Linked DNA regions of Caenorhabditis elegans. The protein of the gene in region 3 purifies or fractionates together with the protein of the main gene of each other region. This does not show direct contact. Each region holds a gene or a part of one and is shown on either strand. Other genes may lie near its edges.

Region 1 (4,769 bases), on a different chromosome or scaffold from region 3:
CCCACAGGAGCAGGAGAGAAAGACACGGGCGAAAAAAAAACAGCAGAAAACGCAAAACGCATGATATTCTCTTTGTGTATTCTTTTACTTCTACCTTTACAACAGCGGTGCTCTCTCAAAGAGAGCACATAGGCGTCACGTCTTGATACACATTTGATGATGAAAAGGAAAAATGACGATGAGAAATGAGGAAGCTTGAGAAGAAAACCGAAGAAGAAAGATTGGGGTTTGTTGAGTTGTGTTCCTTTGGAATGTGGTATGAGAACTTGAGAAATGGGAACATCTGGAATATAAAACTATGAGGAATGTTCGGTGATCTTTCGTATTTTTTGCCATGTCAATGGAACTGAAACCGTCTAACTTGATGATAATGACCAAGATAGTCCCTTCAGTTTTGGAACAAGAGTAACAGACTCAGCAACAATATTTGTTTCAGATTGTCTTGATAAATTGCCAAATCTAAGAACGATACAATTTAGAACAATATCGCATGTTTCAACAAAGAGCTCAGTGATACTACAGTACACCTACATCACCAATTACTCCTACAGTACCAATACAGTACCCCAAAAATATATATGTTTTCTGAGTGTTCTCAGCAGTTTTCTCGTATTTTTACTATATTACAACAATTGTTTTAAATTTTCGCGGATTGTGACCTTAAAATACATTTGATTTCGACAGAAATCCGAGTGACCATGAATTTCTGAAATAAAATAAATGCATTTTAATCGTCTTCTTGTTCAATTGTTTTCCACGGAGGAATGTTCTGAAAATTGCAAATGTTTATTTTTTAAACTTTAAATTCAATTTATATGTCGATAAATTTATTTATCGATTAACAAAACAGAGAAACAAAAGCATTCTAAAAACTAATAAGGCATGAAAATAAAGTTACTACCACTTTTATCTAATTATTCGCTTCCAAGCTCTACACGAACAAAATCGAGAATGTTAGCATTGTGGGATTTTAGGTACTCATGAACAGATTGAGATGGATTCAACATGAAGGCTTGGCGGAGAAGAGCAGTTTCCGATTCATCAATATTAGTTACAACAACTGGATCAGCATTTGGATCATGCCCTTCTTGACTACGAAGCCCTTCTTGAGTTTTCACAGATTCTGCAGCTTCGCCGAGGGATTCCGGGGACATTCCGATAATGTGCTGGCATATCTGTCCGGCAAGTTGCTGACTACTGATTGACCCTGTAAATGTTAAGACTTAATTTTTTACTTTATTTCTTTGTTTCACCTGGACTCGATTGATTTAGAGCGATGAGTGAAATGAACCGTCCCATCGGGATATCATCAGTTCCATCTTTAGGATGTGAAGCTCCAAACAAAGTTGTTCCTTCGGGAGCTTTAAAAGCCTTAACTCTTCTCACTGTCATGTTCTCACCAAGCTTTCCGATTGAAAGGGAGAGCACTTCACGCATATTTTTTCCGTCGGAATCGGTCAGATCCCCAAGATCATAGGTGAATTCTTGAAGTTTTGAGCCGCTCGATATAGATTGTGGCTTAGCTTTTGCGAGAACAGAGTTGGAGATGTTTGACAACAAATCCTTGAAAGCTCCAGATCGCGCCACAAAATCAGTTTCACAACTGAGTTCTACCACAGCTGCTGTTGAGTTGTCCGTGACTACAGATACAAGACCATTCGATGTTACACGAGTTCCAAGTCTGGAATATTCTATAACTATTAAAATAATTCCTTGTGAAGTCAACATTCCAAATTAAAAAAATTTCAAAATAAACACTTACTTTGCCGCTTTGGCCCATCCTTCCTTCGCTGCAGCTTCTTTCAACCATTTTACAGCACTATCCATATCATTTTCGCCAAACTGAATAAGTGCTTTACGACAATTCACATAACTATAACCAGTCTTTTTTCGAAGAGCCATTAGAGCCTGAAAAACAATTATTTTTTATTTTTTAAAATTAATTAGGGTTCCTAGATTTTAATACCTCTTTAGAGACTTTCTTTTCGGCCTCAGCCAAGTTTCGACTAGTCGTTGATAGTAGACGTACAAATGGAGCTCTAGCAAACATTTCTAAAATTGGAAACTTTAGTTTTCAGTCAATATTGATAATTATTTTAAGAGAATAAAGCAAATTATGCAATTTTCTGGGCATTTTTTGCATTAAAAAATGAAAAGGCAAGTGCGCCCCAATGAGAAAGACGGCCGCGCGAAAGAATTCGTTTTGAACATAACAAGGAAAATGTGTTTCTTTTTTTTTAATTGCGAGGTAAATTATATTATTGAATTATTTTATTGATTATTTATAATTATTTTTAGGTGAAAACTTTAATACTATTATTTTTTGCTATTTTTTTGTTGAAATAAATTCTATAATTCCATAGAAATTTTCAGTAAAGAGATCAATGCCGAAGAGCAATCCGGTAACACCTAACAAACAACCATCAGAAGACTGGAATGAGTTACTCACAGAGTTCCGTGGAAAAGGAGGTCGGGCTCTTCAGAAAACATTCATCAGAAAATTGTGGGCAGTTCAAGAAGATATTATTGCCAATGCAAATCCATCGACTCTTCGGTGTATTTTCTTCGCACCAGCCTTGTTGATTTGTCCGGAAGGTATAAAATTATCAGCTGAAATTCTCCCAAAAATTGGTGTTGGAAATGGACTGATACTACTCGAGAAGTTAATACTAAAGTTCAATCTCACCGAGTAAAGTTTATACGCTGAAGAATTCCATTTATATATATTTTTGCAGCACTGAATGTCAAAGGTATGGTGAAGTATTCGTCACAGCTTGGAGAAATGCATATCAGGAGGCTAACTTTGATTTGACAGAGGAATTGGAGACCGATGTGATCAGTGTCATGTGTCAGCATGCATTATATGCTCACAGGCCTACCTGCACTAAATTTCAAAATGTGATTGCCGCATTTGCACACGCGAAAAAACTGGACAAAAGTGTAGATGAAATGGTGACAAGGCTTCTCAATGGATGTCTTTACCGAGCGCTGGACGCTCCAAATTACATTGTACAGTCATCAGCTGCAGAAGTATTTTTCAATTTTTACCCACTAATTGGCGAGGATACTGAAGACATGGATAGGATAATGGAAAACCAACATCGATATATGATGGACTTATTACGTAGTGATGTTATTTCCATTCGAAGCGAAGCCACGAAACATGTCTTGAAGGCAATCAGCGAATTCTGGCTTCTTATTCCAAAAAATATCGTGAAGGAACTCATGGGATACATCATTGATACAGTCGCGAAAGACACTGTTGTCAGCGTCCGCGTCGCCGTTTTTGAAGGTCTTAATGAAATGGCATTTGTTCCGGCATGTCTCACAGCATTCGAATATGGATTGAAATGTGCCGTTGATCCAGCACTACAGGATAAATCTGAACGAGTTCGTCTTGCTGCTTACCAAATAATTTCTCGTCTGAAGAATCATAAATTTATTAGGTAAAATGAACCCAAATCAACAAACTAAAAAATAAATTTTCAGTGTGTTCGATATCATTACTCGAGATGATGCCATTGCGAAACTCGATCTGGAAAACGTAGAGACCTGCCGCCGTCAACTGATTCCAATTATGCATATTTGTCTTCCTATCTCGAAAAGTCTGGATGAAGCATACTATCGTCCTCGTGTCAACTACATGTTAGGAAAAAGTCGATTGGCTCTTTTGAGTTACTTCCGATTGCTTGGCCCAATGAAAATCATTGATGCATCCCAAGCATCCAAACTTATCGAAATGTTTATAACCTGGGCATATCGTTATCTTCGTAAAAAGGATGGCCCTCCATTACCAGAGACTGCCGAAGGATACAAAAAAGCGAGAGCTTATCTTGAGTGTGCTCTCATTCTGTACATGTCATGCAAAGGAGTTAGTTTTCTATTTCTCAAATTTAAAATTGAAGACCTTTTTTAAAACATTATAAACTTCTAAACTTTTTCAGATGCTGATGTCAGATGGCGATGGAACTTCAAAAGCGAAATGTGATCAAATATTTGGAAAAGTTGTCAAGGAAATATTTGAAAAATACGCCAACACTCCTATTCTCGGAACTGCGACAGCAATCAGCAGTGTCATTCCTAAAGATTACCTTAAATCAATTGCTAATGATGTTCTCGCAAGACTGGAAGACGACGATGTTCCTCCAGAAGCAGTTGAGCCGTTTCTTGAATCTGCAATTCATTTCAACCCGGATTCTGTTTTTGATTCATTCGATAGTGGGCTTAATGTTCTTGTAAATTTGTATGGAACGAAACAGAGTAAGAAGAAACGACGTGAATTGGAGGATCCAGAAGATGTACTGATTATGACGTTGAACCGTCTCAAATATTTGCTACAGAGTCACAGTACATCAAATCTTATTGCAATGAAAGATGAATACCGAACTAAAGTCTTGGATTTGTTGAAGGTTTGTGTATTAGTTCATTATTGAAACAATAATATTATATTTAGAAAATTGATCTAATTCGAGAAGGAATTGAAATTAGGCTTGCAAAAGAAGAAGGCCAGGAGCACACTCTCAGTGATGATGTTCTTCTGTCGATACTCGAATTTAGATTCATTTTGCCCTTTTTCGCTGCAACTAATGGATCTGAAGATGCTGCGGATCGTAACCAAACTATCGAGTCAATGAAAAACCTTCTTCTTTGGTTTGAAAAAAATATTTCAAGTCAAATGGCGACTTTTGGTGAACACAATCAAGATTTTCTCATTCAATTAACAAGTACATTCTTGAATTGTGTAAACGTGTCACTATCTGCGTATGATT
Region 2 (4,769 bases), on a different chromosome or scaffold from region 3:
AACCTCTGCGAATGTGTTAATCGGATCCGCTTGACAGACGTACATTTGACGAATAACATCAAGTGTATGAGTTATCAATCGTCTCAAGTTTGAGTGACCTTCCAATGTTTCAAGAGCACCCGTTAGCCATAGCAATGTAAGTGCTTGGGCCGCAAGAATATATCCTTTCATTTTATTCTCTTCTCCTGTTGTGGATTCAGAATTAGAATTCAAAATGACAACATCATTGGAATCTTTGCTCTTTTGACTTTCGCTCCATCTCGTTGACAAATTACGAACCCAATTCTTCAGAACTTCCTTTGCCGCATCTCGAATATTTACTGGAAAATTACAATTTAATATCATTAGTCATAAATTACAAACAAACCTTCATGGTCTTTCAGGCATAAATCAAGCATTTCAATTTTTTCGCGAACATGTTTGTTTGGCCTGAGGTTTGAAAACTGTTCAAGTGCTGCGACACGAACATTGAGACACTTGTCATAATAGACAATGTCTGAAAGTAGTCTAACATCTGTTTCTAATGGTACCATTGATTGAACTGCAACAAGTCGGCATTCCCATGCTGTGTCTCTACAGGAACGGAGAAGAACTGAAATTTGTAATTTAAAAAGAACAAACGCTGGTATTGTATAGTAATTTCACAACACCTTGGCATGCTAGGCGCACGGATTTCTTTATATGGGCCAAGTTTCAAAATACGTATGAATTTTTCATTTAAAATGTTTGTTTTTCCTGTGAAAAGGATTAAAAAACTGATTTTCAACAACTTTGAACAGTAAAATGCAAGGAAAAAACAATGAAGCAGCCGCAAAATTCAAAATTAAACTACCATAAATTTTTTTGTGCTTTGATCCAAAAAATATATGGTAGTTTAATTTTGAATTCTACGGCTGCTTCATTTAGTGCGCCTTTATAAAAGTTTGAAAACTTACGTTCTCTTGGTGAATGTTTCATAGCATCTACTGGCCAATTCGATGGAATTGGTATTTCTTGCAAGAATCCTAGGCCTCGAATAGCTGGAACTCTGGCGGTTTGCTGAAAAAAGTTCAATTTCAGCTTTTCAGAATTGAATCAACTTTTGAATGAAACAAACCTCCTTGTCAAGCAGTGCTCTCTTCAATTGTAAAAACATTTTAGCTGCAATCTTGACTTCAAATCCAGAATATTCACCCTCAGTTGTTAAATATCGTTTCCCTGTCTCGAATATATAACTGATGAAGCAGGTCGTGTTAATTCTCGCAGCAACATTATCACTATGTCCCCACTGAAAATAAGTTTTATTATGCGGATTTTTATTAAATTGAATACTCACAGTGTTAATAAAATTGATAATAAAATCGAGGAGATCCGATGGAAGCTTGAAAGCTTGAATTTCAGTTATTGTCACTGCGATTAATTTAAAGACACGAGCCCGATGCTCAGGAACAGTCACCTCTTCGATAATCATTGAAAGTCGGACATCTATTTCATCAAGGAAAACTTTCATTAAATCGACCTTTTTCTTACGATTCTGATCAGCCTGAAAATTGGATAATTTTTAAAATTATTTTTATTTCGATTTTTAAAATAAATTAACCTTTTTAAATGCTGCAATCAGTTTCCGCGAACTGGTATGTATTTCATCATTAATATCATCACGAGATTGAAAAACTGTTCGAATTGATTCTACGACTCTTTTTCTATAAAATACTTTAGTTTTTTTTTTCATTTTGATACTTACTTTATGAAAAGTGCTGCAGAAATACAAGCTCGATCCTCTTTTGTCATGTTTTCATTGATTCTAAGAGTGGATACACCTTCGCTCAAAACTGTATTTTCCGCATCGTTTTGATCATTGTTTAATTCTTCATTATTCAAAAAATCAGCACTTTCGTTGAATGATTCATCTGAAGCCACATCTGTACCAGTTGATTTTTCCTCACGAAGTGCTGGCAACTTCGGCCCGCGAATTCGCTTCTTCGGTGGCATGAGAGGGGTGGGTTACTGAAAATTTGAAAATTGAAATGAATTAACAAAAAGATAGACATTCAGAAAAAGAATAACACATGTCGAATTGTTAAAATATCTTGTTATTCTCTGCATTTCCACTGATAGTGAAAATACCGGGGCGACAAATGATCTGTATATGTCCCAAAAATGGAAAATTACAAAATATCTTTTTAAACATTTAAAGACTCGTGTATAAAACAGTTTCCAAAGAAACAAAAGAACGAGGTAATGACTGAAACGACTAGAGCACGCCAATCTGCTGTTTCGCTCTCTTCGATTTCAAATTTGCATTAGAGCGCACATGCTTTCGCGCCGTTTTATTTATTTTTTATTTAAAAACGGAACTTTCGGAATTGAAAAGGGGTTTTTTAATGTTTACTAAGCCTAAGTAGACTAGAATTCAGTAGAGAGCAATAAAGTTTGTTTCGTCACCACTTAATCCTGGCAGTAATAACTAGAGCTCCTGTTAAATACTTAAATAAAATCAATTAATCAATTGAAGAAATATTAACAGGTGTTAGAAACAAACACATAGAAAAGGAAAAACAATAAAATGTGCAAATATTTTTATATTTATTAAAAGATAAAATTCTAGGTAATGCAATCACAGGTTGAAGTACGGAAAACTCGGAGCAACTGATCAATCGAAATATTTTATAACATTTCTCGCCATAATGTCTCCTTCAGAAATAACAAAAGCGTGTTCACAATTGTCTTCGTCCAATGTGACCTGCTCCTCACCAAGTCTGTCCCGCATGGAGTATCCTATAAATTTTATTTTCAATCTACACAACGTTTTCAAGGTCAATACCATGCTGCACTGGACACCATCCATCCTTGAGGCCATAATAGAAATGAACCACGTCTTGTTTTTCCAAAAGACGCTCATCTAGGTCTAAAACGATATCAAGTTCATCGTTTGACATGTGAACTATATTTCTGAACACATCCATATGGACAAGCTCAACTGCCGCATCGACGATCTCTGGGGGAGTCTGAAAAATTATGTTTTTTGTTGCTTGACATTCAAAAAAAAATTTACATTAGGATGTCTCAGGTTCAATCCAACAAGAAATTTTTTGATCGAGTTTGGCAGGTAATCCACCCACCAGCAAATCGTTTTTGTGAGCCAATCATGATGGTTCAATGTCTGAAAGTTTACAATTAAAAATTAAAATAAAGAAATTGAATTTACAGCTAAAGTTCCATGTAATCGTTTCCCATTTGGTGAGTTTGCCATATGAACTATCGTTGGAAACAGTCCAACAGCTTTTTCCACGTGGAATCCTTCTTTTATCACTTCAGGAATGATTCTTAACATCATATACGAACCAATGCTATGCCCCAAAATGTACAGTTGCTTTCCACGTGGCAGGTGCTCTTTCACAAATGATAGTTTGTGATTGACTTGTTCCTCCAGAGAAATTCGGTCTGGAAATATATTATAATCGACGTAAAAACGCGCTCCGCACCGGATCCATGAGTCTCGTTAGGTATTTGAAAAAAAAACAAAAGGGCGAAAAATACTGCGAAATCGGCGAAACTAAATAAGTTAAAAGGCTGGAGTGAACGGTTCTTCGTTTTATTTGTATTTATTACCATGATTTCGATGTTCTCCATCATCTTTCAAATGATCTGGCATTCGAACATGATTGAGACTTGAAACTGTGTAGAATAAATATTGATTTTTCAAGTTTTTCTGCTCATCTTCATCTTTCTTTATCAAATTTTGCAAAACTTCTCGTCCGAAATGAGCGTAGAATCCTTCGTTTCCGGGATTTCCTGAAATTAAAATTTTCTTAAATTTTTAAAAGCGCAATTTCCCGATTTACCTGGAATCATTAAAATAATCACTCGATTCTCGTTCTCCTTTTTCTTCTGAATTTTCAGCGTTTCGTCTGAAATATCCAACCCCATGACGGACATTTTCGTCCATTTCCCTGCTACTCGAACCCATTCCACTTTTCGAAGAATTGAGGTCATCTATATGTAAATAAATAAGAAAAACTGGAAAAATGCGGTTAGAAAGAATGATATTGTGTTGGGAAATTTTCACCTGCCTCAATAATTATTTTTAAACATCTGTAAAAAATCGATGGAGGAAGATGGCTTTATCTCAAGTTTGGAGAAGAAAACACAAACAGAAAAATAAATAAAACGTTAAAACAAGATGGAAACAGAGATACCGTATATTCTCTATTAGTGCTGCATGCAGCACTAATTTCCAGGCCCTTTTTGAGTGCAGCACTATTAGAGACTGCAGTATTACTGGAGGCTGCAGCACTAATTTTCGAACGGCTATTTTCAATTGGAGATCACTAGTTTTTAGTCACAAATGCTCACCTTTTAAGCAGAAATCCATTAAAATTGTGAAATTTTGTAACAAAAATGACCTAATAACTCAATTATGTTTGTAAGTTAACTAGAAATCTTCAAAAATATACAAAACACTCCCCAGAATGTCAAAACTATGTATTGAGTGACTCTTTCAGTAGAAAATGGGGTGCAGCACTAATAGAGACTGCAGCACTAATTTTCGGACCCTTTTTGAGTGCAGCACTATTAGAGACTGCAGTACTACTGGAGATGCAGCACTAATAGAGAATATACGGTAATAATTTTCAGATTTTGTGATTTTTTTTGTTTGAAGAATGATGATTGAGGATCGTGTTGGATGGATTTGGAAACGATTATTGACGGTCACCGCCTGAAAAATGTAGAAGATTCATTTTTCTTAATAGTCACACGAATAAAAAAACCAATTTGAAACAACTTAA
Region 3 (4,769 bases):
TTTATTTAAATTTATCAGGCTTTTTGAAAACCTACATCTTGATTCTTCTGTCTTGCCGTATTTCGAAGAGTTGGCAATTCTGTACTCAGTTGTTTTAACTTATCATTCCAAGAATCAAATTCCGGCTTCAGCTTATCTAACTCATCCTTCTCTTTCGCATAACTTTCTTCTGAAGATTCTAATCGTTTCTTCAGTTCGATAAGCTTATCCGTTCCAGAATTCGCGAGCTTCTTTAAATCCTCGAAATCTTCCCGTGCAATCCTTGCTTCACCTCGAACTTTGTTAAATTCGTTGCTCTTCTGCGCCCAAGTCTCTTGAATCTTCTTTTGTTCTTCTTTTGGCGCTTCAGAGCGTTTTTCAAATTCATCAAGATTCTTGTCGGCTTCCTCGTTAGCTGTTTTCTCTATTTCAAGCAACTGTTCCACTTCTTCCTGACATTTTGCGATTTTTCTCTCCGCCTTTTCGGGTGCTGCTTCCAGATTTGATCGCTTTTTAACCTCTTTTTCCTTCTCAGCTTCCGCCTTTGAAATATTAGCTTGATGCCTTTTCAAAGCCTCCTTCCTGCGAGTCTCTTCAGTGCCCAAGTCGCTCAATTCCTTAGATAGACTATCAAAGTTTTTGTCGAGTTTCGAACGCTCTTCAATCATAACTTTCTGAGCTTCCTCAGATTGTTTGTATTCGTTTTTGTTGGTATCCAGCGTTTCAGCAATCGATTTCATTTCTTCTTTCATCTTGTCAAGTTCGGCTTGTTTTGGAGCAATTTTATCTAGGTATCGTTGCCTTAAAACGTTAAATGTTATTTTAACCTGGAATATTTCAGAACTACCGTCTTCTTTGCTCCAATTTCATATGAATCGTTGTAGCCTCGTTTTCTTTCATCAGAAACTCAATTGCAGCTCTAACTGGATTCTCCATAGCTACTTTGCTGTTTCTGGCGTGATCACGAGCGATTCTTTGTTGAGAAAGATCACAAGTAAGACGATTGACGCGTCGCTGGAATAATTTAACAAAGGGCTCGAGTCGGTTTGTTCCGATAATATCCTCCAAATATTCAACCATTCCAGTTTCACTTTTGGTGGTTTTCACTGGTTTCATCATTGCAATTTGTTCGACTTCTCCCTGAAAAAAATGTTTATTACCGGTTTTATTGTCACTTTTACCTGAAGAATTAGAAAACGATTATGCTCAATATCAATGTCAACGCGTCGTAGGCGTGCTTCAACTTCATTCTTCGTTGCCGGTCGACCATCGATAGCATATGAGCTTGAGTTATTTTGAAAAGCAGTTCTAGAGATTGTGAACTCAGAATCCTTGACGACTTCGTAATGCCCAGGCTGAAAAAAAGCAAATTTATATTTTATTAGATTCTCTGATTCACTTACAATATCGACGATCCGCTGAAAATGAATAGTGACTGTGCATTTGTCTGGATTTCTTCCAGCACTTTTGTGAATCAAATTTGACACTTTTGCAGAACGAATTTTGGAAGCACGGAAACCGAAAACGAATAAGAGCGAATCGATTAAATTAGACTTTCCAGATCCATTTGGACCGATAATTGATGTGAAACTTTTGTGAAATGGTCCAATGGAAGCCTTGCCGAAGTAACTCTTGAAATTGTCCACTTCAACATTGCGAATCATCAAACGATCCGCCCGATTCGGTTTTGTAAGGAAATCGGGTCGCGATGGCAGTTGCTGTAAAATGTAATGACTTTAATATTAAAAACAGAGTAACATACCAATGAGAAAAGATCACTGTCGTCGTCCTCTCCGTCGCTTCCATCAAATTTTTCATTTACCGCTCTCTGAATAAAAATTTCAGTTTTATTGCTGCTTTTAAATATTCTGAGAGGGATACCTGTAGTTCTTCTTCCGGGTCCTTTGATCCTTCCTTGTGTCGGTTCACAGGCTTCGTTGTCTTTTTCTGCGGCTTTTTAACAGGAGCGTCATCAAAATCAGAATCAGATTCGTCTGATTGTGGCGGCGCCGCCGAAGTCTTCGGAGGCATCAACCCTAAAATACGTTGATTTTTAGGATTTGAGTGCTTAATATGAAAAAGACATTTCCCAACAAAAACAAAAAGTGGGACAGCAGCGGCTAAACAATTATTGGCGGTGAAATTCGAACAAAATTTTGGCGCGCATACAAGTGTGTGCAAACACCGTGACGCGCAAGTGCGACCCATACATTTAATTATACGACGAGAGCTAGAATGAAGTACGGTAATTAATTAAACATTTCTGAATTGCTTCAACATAAAATAAGTTTTCAAATAAAAATGACAACACCCGCTGTAAAAATGGTTGTCGCGTATGTGACAGCTCCGAGTAAGGAAGTTGCAATGACTGTGGCAAGGTATTTTTTTGTTTTCTGTCTACCAAAACATAATTTCATTTCAGAACAACTGTCACTGAAGCATTAGCCGCTTGCGCCAATGTTATTCCGGAAGTCACATCTGTGTAAGTATTTTATCTTTTTTAAATCTGTGCGAGAATCCAGATATTCAGATACAAATGGCAAGGAAAAATTGAAGAAGATCAAGAGCATGTCGTGATCTTGAAAACTGTAGAAAGCAAAGTCGAAGAGCTATCAGCTGTATGTTTTTATTTCGGATCACTAAGATTTTCATTCAATTTCAGCGTGTTCGATCTCTTCATCCGGCTGAAACTCCGTGCTTCTTCACACTGGCCATTGACAAAATAACTCCCGATTTTGGAGGATGGATTGTGGATTCTACGAATTCTTCAACTGCGAAACATTGAAACTTAAAACTTTATTCATATTTATTTCTACCAACTAAACATTAAATCAACGGGAACTGATAAATACATACAAACAGATTTGGCTAAGGAAAAAAACATCGTAATAAGAAAAAATGCTCCGAAAATTTGAAGATTCCAAAATAACGATTTGAGCATGCTTTTTTGGGGATTGTCTTGAAAGCTTCAAATTTTTTTTTCGAGCGATTCTGATGTGATTTAATGAATTTTTTTCAAAGAGATCGAGTTGAACGGGAAAGACAGGGCTATCATTAACTAGCTAGCGAGCATCACTTCGAACTCCAACAGCTTTGTCTACAATGTTAAGCGAGAAGACCATCGGGACAGCAATCTTGTATGCATGGCGTTTGTATGTATGATAATCATATTCCGTCCAAAATAACTGAAAAACATTGAAATGTTTTCTCATATATGTTCAATCATTCTTACTTTTTGCTCCTGAATAATTATCTCAAAGATCCTATCCATGCTTTTCTTTTCGTTATTGTATTGTGTCTCCCATCCCGGAAAGTCTTCACACATGAACTGAAAATTCGAAGTTGAAAAGAAATCCACTAAAAAAACTCTCACTTTGTGGATGCTGTATGTAGATTCTGAAGCGGACTTTGAACTAACATATTGATAGATCATAGAAAACTCACAGTCTCCAATTTCATGGAAACCGAGAAATTTAATTACTTGGTTGACCTTCACCTTAAAAATATTGATTTACTTTCTTGACCAATCAAAATATAATAGCTTACTCTGTTCATATTCTCAGAATCCGAGGGCATTATCAAGTTGAACTTCACGTAAAGGCTCTCTTCATTCAACAGCGACAAGAGTGTAAATGAATGATGGTTCTGTATCCAGGACCTTGGGATCACTTTCTAAACGTACTAAATTTCTCCCTTGTTTAACAATAAGATTAAATTATTACCTGAACCTCTTCCTCAAAATCAGTGTAATTAAACCCATCTGGATTTTTCTGATCAAGTTTCTGCAGCACGTACATGGTTTGCGGAAAAAATCTCAAATTTTTTGCCCACCAAATTTCAGCGAGTCGTCTTGCTTCCCTACAGAAAACCGAATAATAAAATGCATAAGGTGCTTGATAAAATACTTTTTCAAACTAGCATCTGTTGAAGGTTTCGTTGACACTGCTGTAAGGAAAGAAGAATATTGCATTTGGAACTCGCTCCCTCCTATGAGATTCATGCGAGCAATTCTTTCAGTTATATCCAATTCCTGAAGGTAACCCGTTTGGTTTTAATTTTCCAAAACTTCGGCATTCTACCTGAGCCTCGTGATTGTTTTCGCGTGCCGATTCTTCCTCCAATGGTGATGGCGTGCTCAGGTTTGTCGAAGAATGCGCAAAGTCCTGATCAATCGGCGCAAACTTGAACAGGACATTGTGATTTTCATCTGAAAAGAAAGAAATAATAAACAATTCTCAAAAAGAAAAGAATCACCATTATCAAGAATGCATTTTTTATCCAAAAGATTGATTCCTTGGATGTACCTTTCGATTGCCATTTTGGATTTTCCTGGTTCAGTAATTCGATGCAACTCATCCTTAAAAAAGGAAAGTTATACTTTCAAAATTCATTTTGATAGAACTTCAATTCCCCGTTGGATTTTAGAAGGTGCAGAAAATGTGACTCCAGAGGAATTTCAATTTTAAGAAAAGCTTGCAAAATAGCCGCAATTTCTTAGGATCAAACGGAGAGGTCTCAGAACTTATACAAATTATAAACTACCTCGAATTCCTTTTTCATCACCGTTTTAAACATCGTCTTGAATTCCTCCAGGCTCATCTCCATTCTCCCAGTTTTTACGAAGTACATGACAATCGCCTGACATTGGACGCGCAGCTAGAAATAATTCATGTTTTATTTGTCTTTCGCATTGGGAAATATACTGCATAGTAAGGTAATTGTATCAGTTTCGCAACAAAAATAAGTAAATTTACGTAAATCGTAATGTTGAGAAGGCGATCTAACAGAAA

What was found.
Region 1: the proteins of smc-4 (region 3) and capg-2 purify together in Caenorhabditis elegans (affinity purification with western blotting; one study listed by BioGRID). This does not show direct contact.
Region 2: the proteins of smc-4 (region 3) and capg-1 purify together in Caenorhabditis elegans (affinity purification with western blotting; 2 studies listed by BioGRID, with this or other methods). This does not show direct contact.

What each region holds. Positions count from the first base shown.
Region 1 is NC_003283.11:12,269,500-12,274,268, forward strand, and holds the start of capg-2 (CAP-G condensin subunit), read left to right. Parts: upstream 1-2,373; 5' UTR 2,374-2,384; coding exon 2,385-2,689; intron 2,690-2,735; coding exon 2,736-3,446; intron 3,447-3,489; coding exon 3,490-3,871; intron 3,872-3,944; coding exon 3,945-4,409; intron 4,410-4,453; coding exon 4,454-4,769. Other genes in the region: tsfm-1 (Elongation factor Ts, mitochondrial), read right to left, coding at 915-1,207, 1,254-1,681, 1,763-1,908, 1,967-2,050.
Region 2 is NC_003279.8:7,637,793-7,642,561, forward strand, and holds the start of capg-1 (Condensin complex subunit capg-1), read right to left. Parts: upstream 1,994-4,769; 5' UTR 1,972-1,993; coding exon 1,724-1,971; intron 1,683-1,723; coding exon 1,580-1,682; intron 1,523-1,579; coding exon 1,316-1,522; intron 1,268-1,315; coding exon 1,097-1,267; intron 1,039-1,096; coding exon 936-1,038; intron 593-935; coding exon 368-592; intron 321-367; coding exon 1-320. Other genes in the region: F26A3.1 (Lipid droplet-associated hydrolase), read right to left, coding at 2,633-2,757, 2,804-2,987, 3,035-3,142, 3,188-3,423, 3,592-3,774, 3,825-3,975; ncbp-2 (Nuclear cap-binding protein subunit 2), read right to left, coding at 4,683-4,699.
Region 3 is NC_003281.10:4,584,747-4,589,515, reverse strand, and holds the start of smc-4 (Structural maintenance of chromosomes protein 4), read right to left. Parts: upstream 2,016-4,769; 5' UTR 2,011-2,015; coding exon 1,861-2,010; intron 1,808-1,860; coding exon 1,742-1,807; intron 1,698-1,741; coding exon 1,383-1,697; intron 1,335-1,382; coding exon 1,161-1,334; intron 1,120-1,160; coding exon 827-1,119; intron 781-826; coding exon 36-780; intron 1-35. Other genes in the region: F35G12.7 (Divalent-cation tolerance protein CutA), read left to right, coding at 2,281-2,357, 2,402-2,461, 2,510-2,597, 2,642-2,764; F35G12.5 (SPK domain-containing protein), read right to left, coding at 3,042-3,164, 3,212-3,307, 3,353-3,475, 3,526-3,651, 3,702-3,837, 3,885-4,009, 4,059-4,186, 4,234-4,336 and 1 more. UniProt on the Caenorhabditis elegans protein: Central component of the condensin I complex, a complex required for conversion of interphase chromatin into mitotic-like condense chromosomes. The condensin I complex introduces positive supercoils into relaxed DNA in the presence of type I topoisomerases.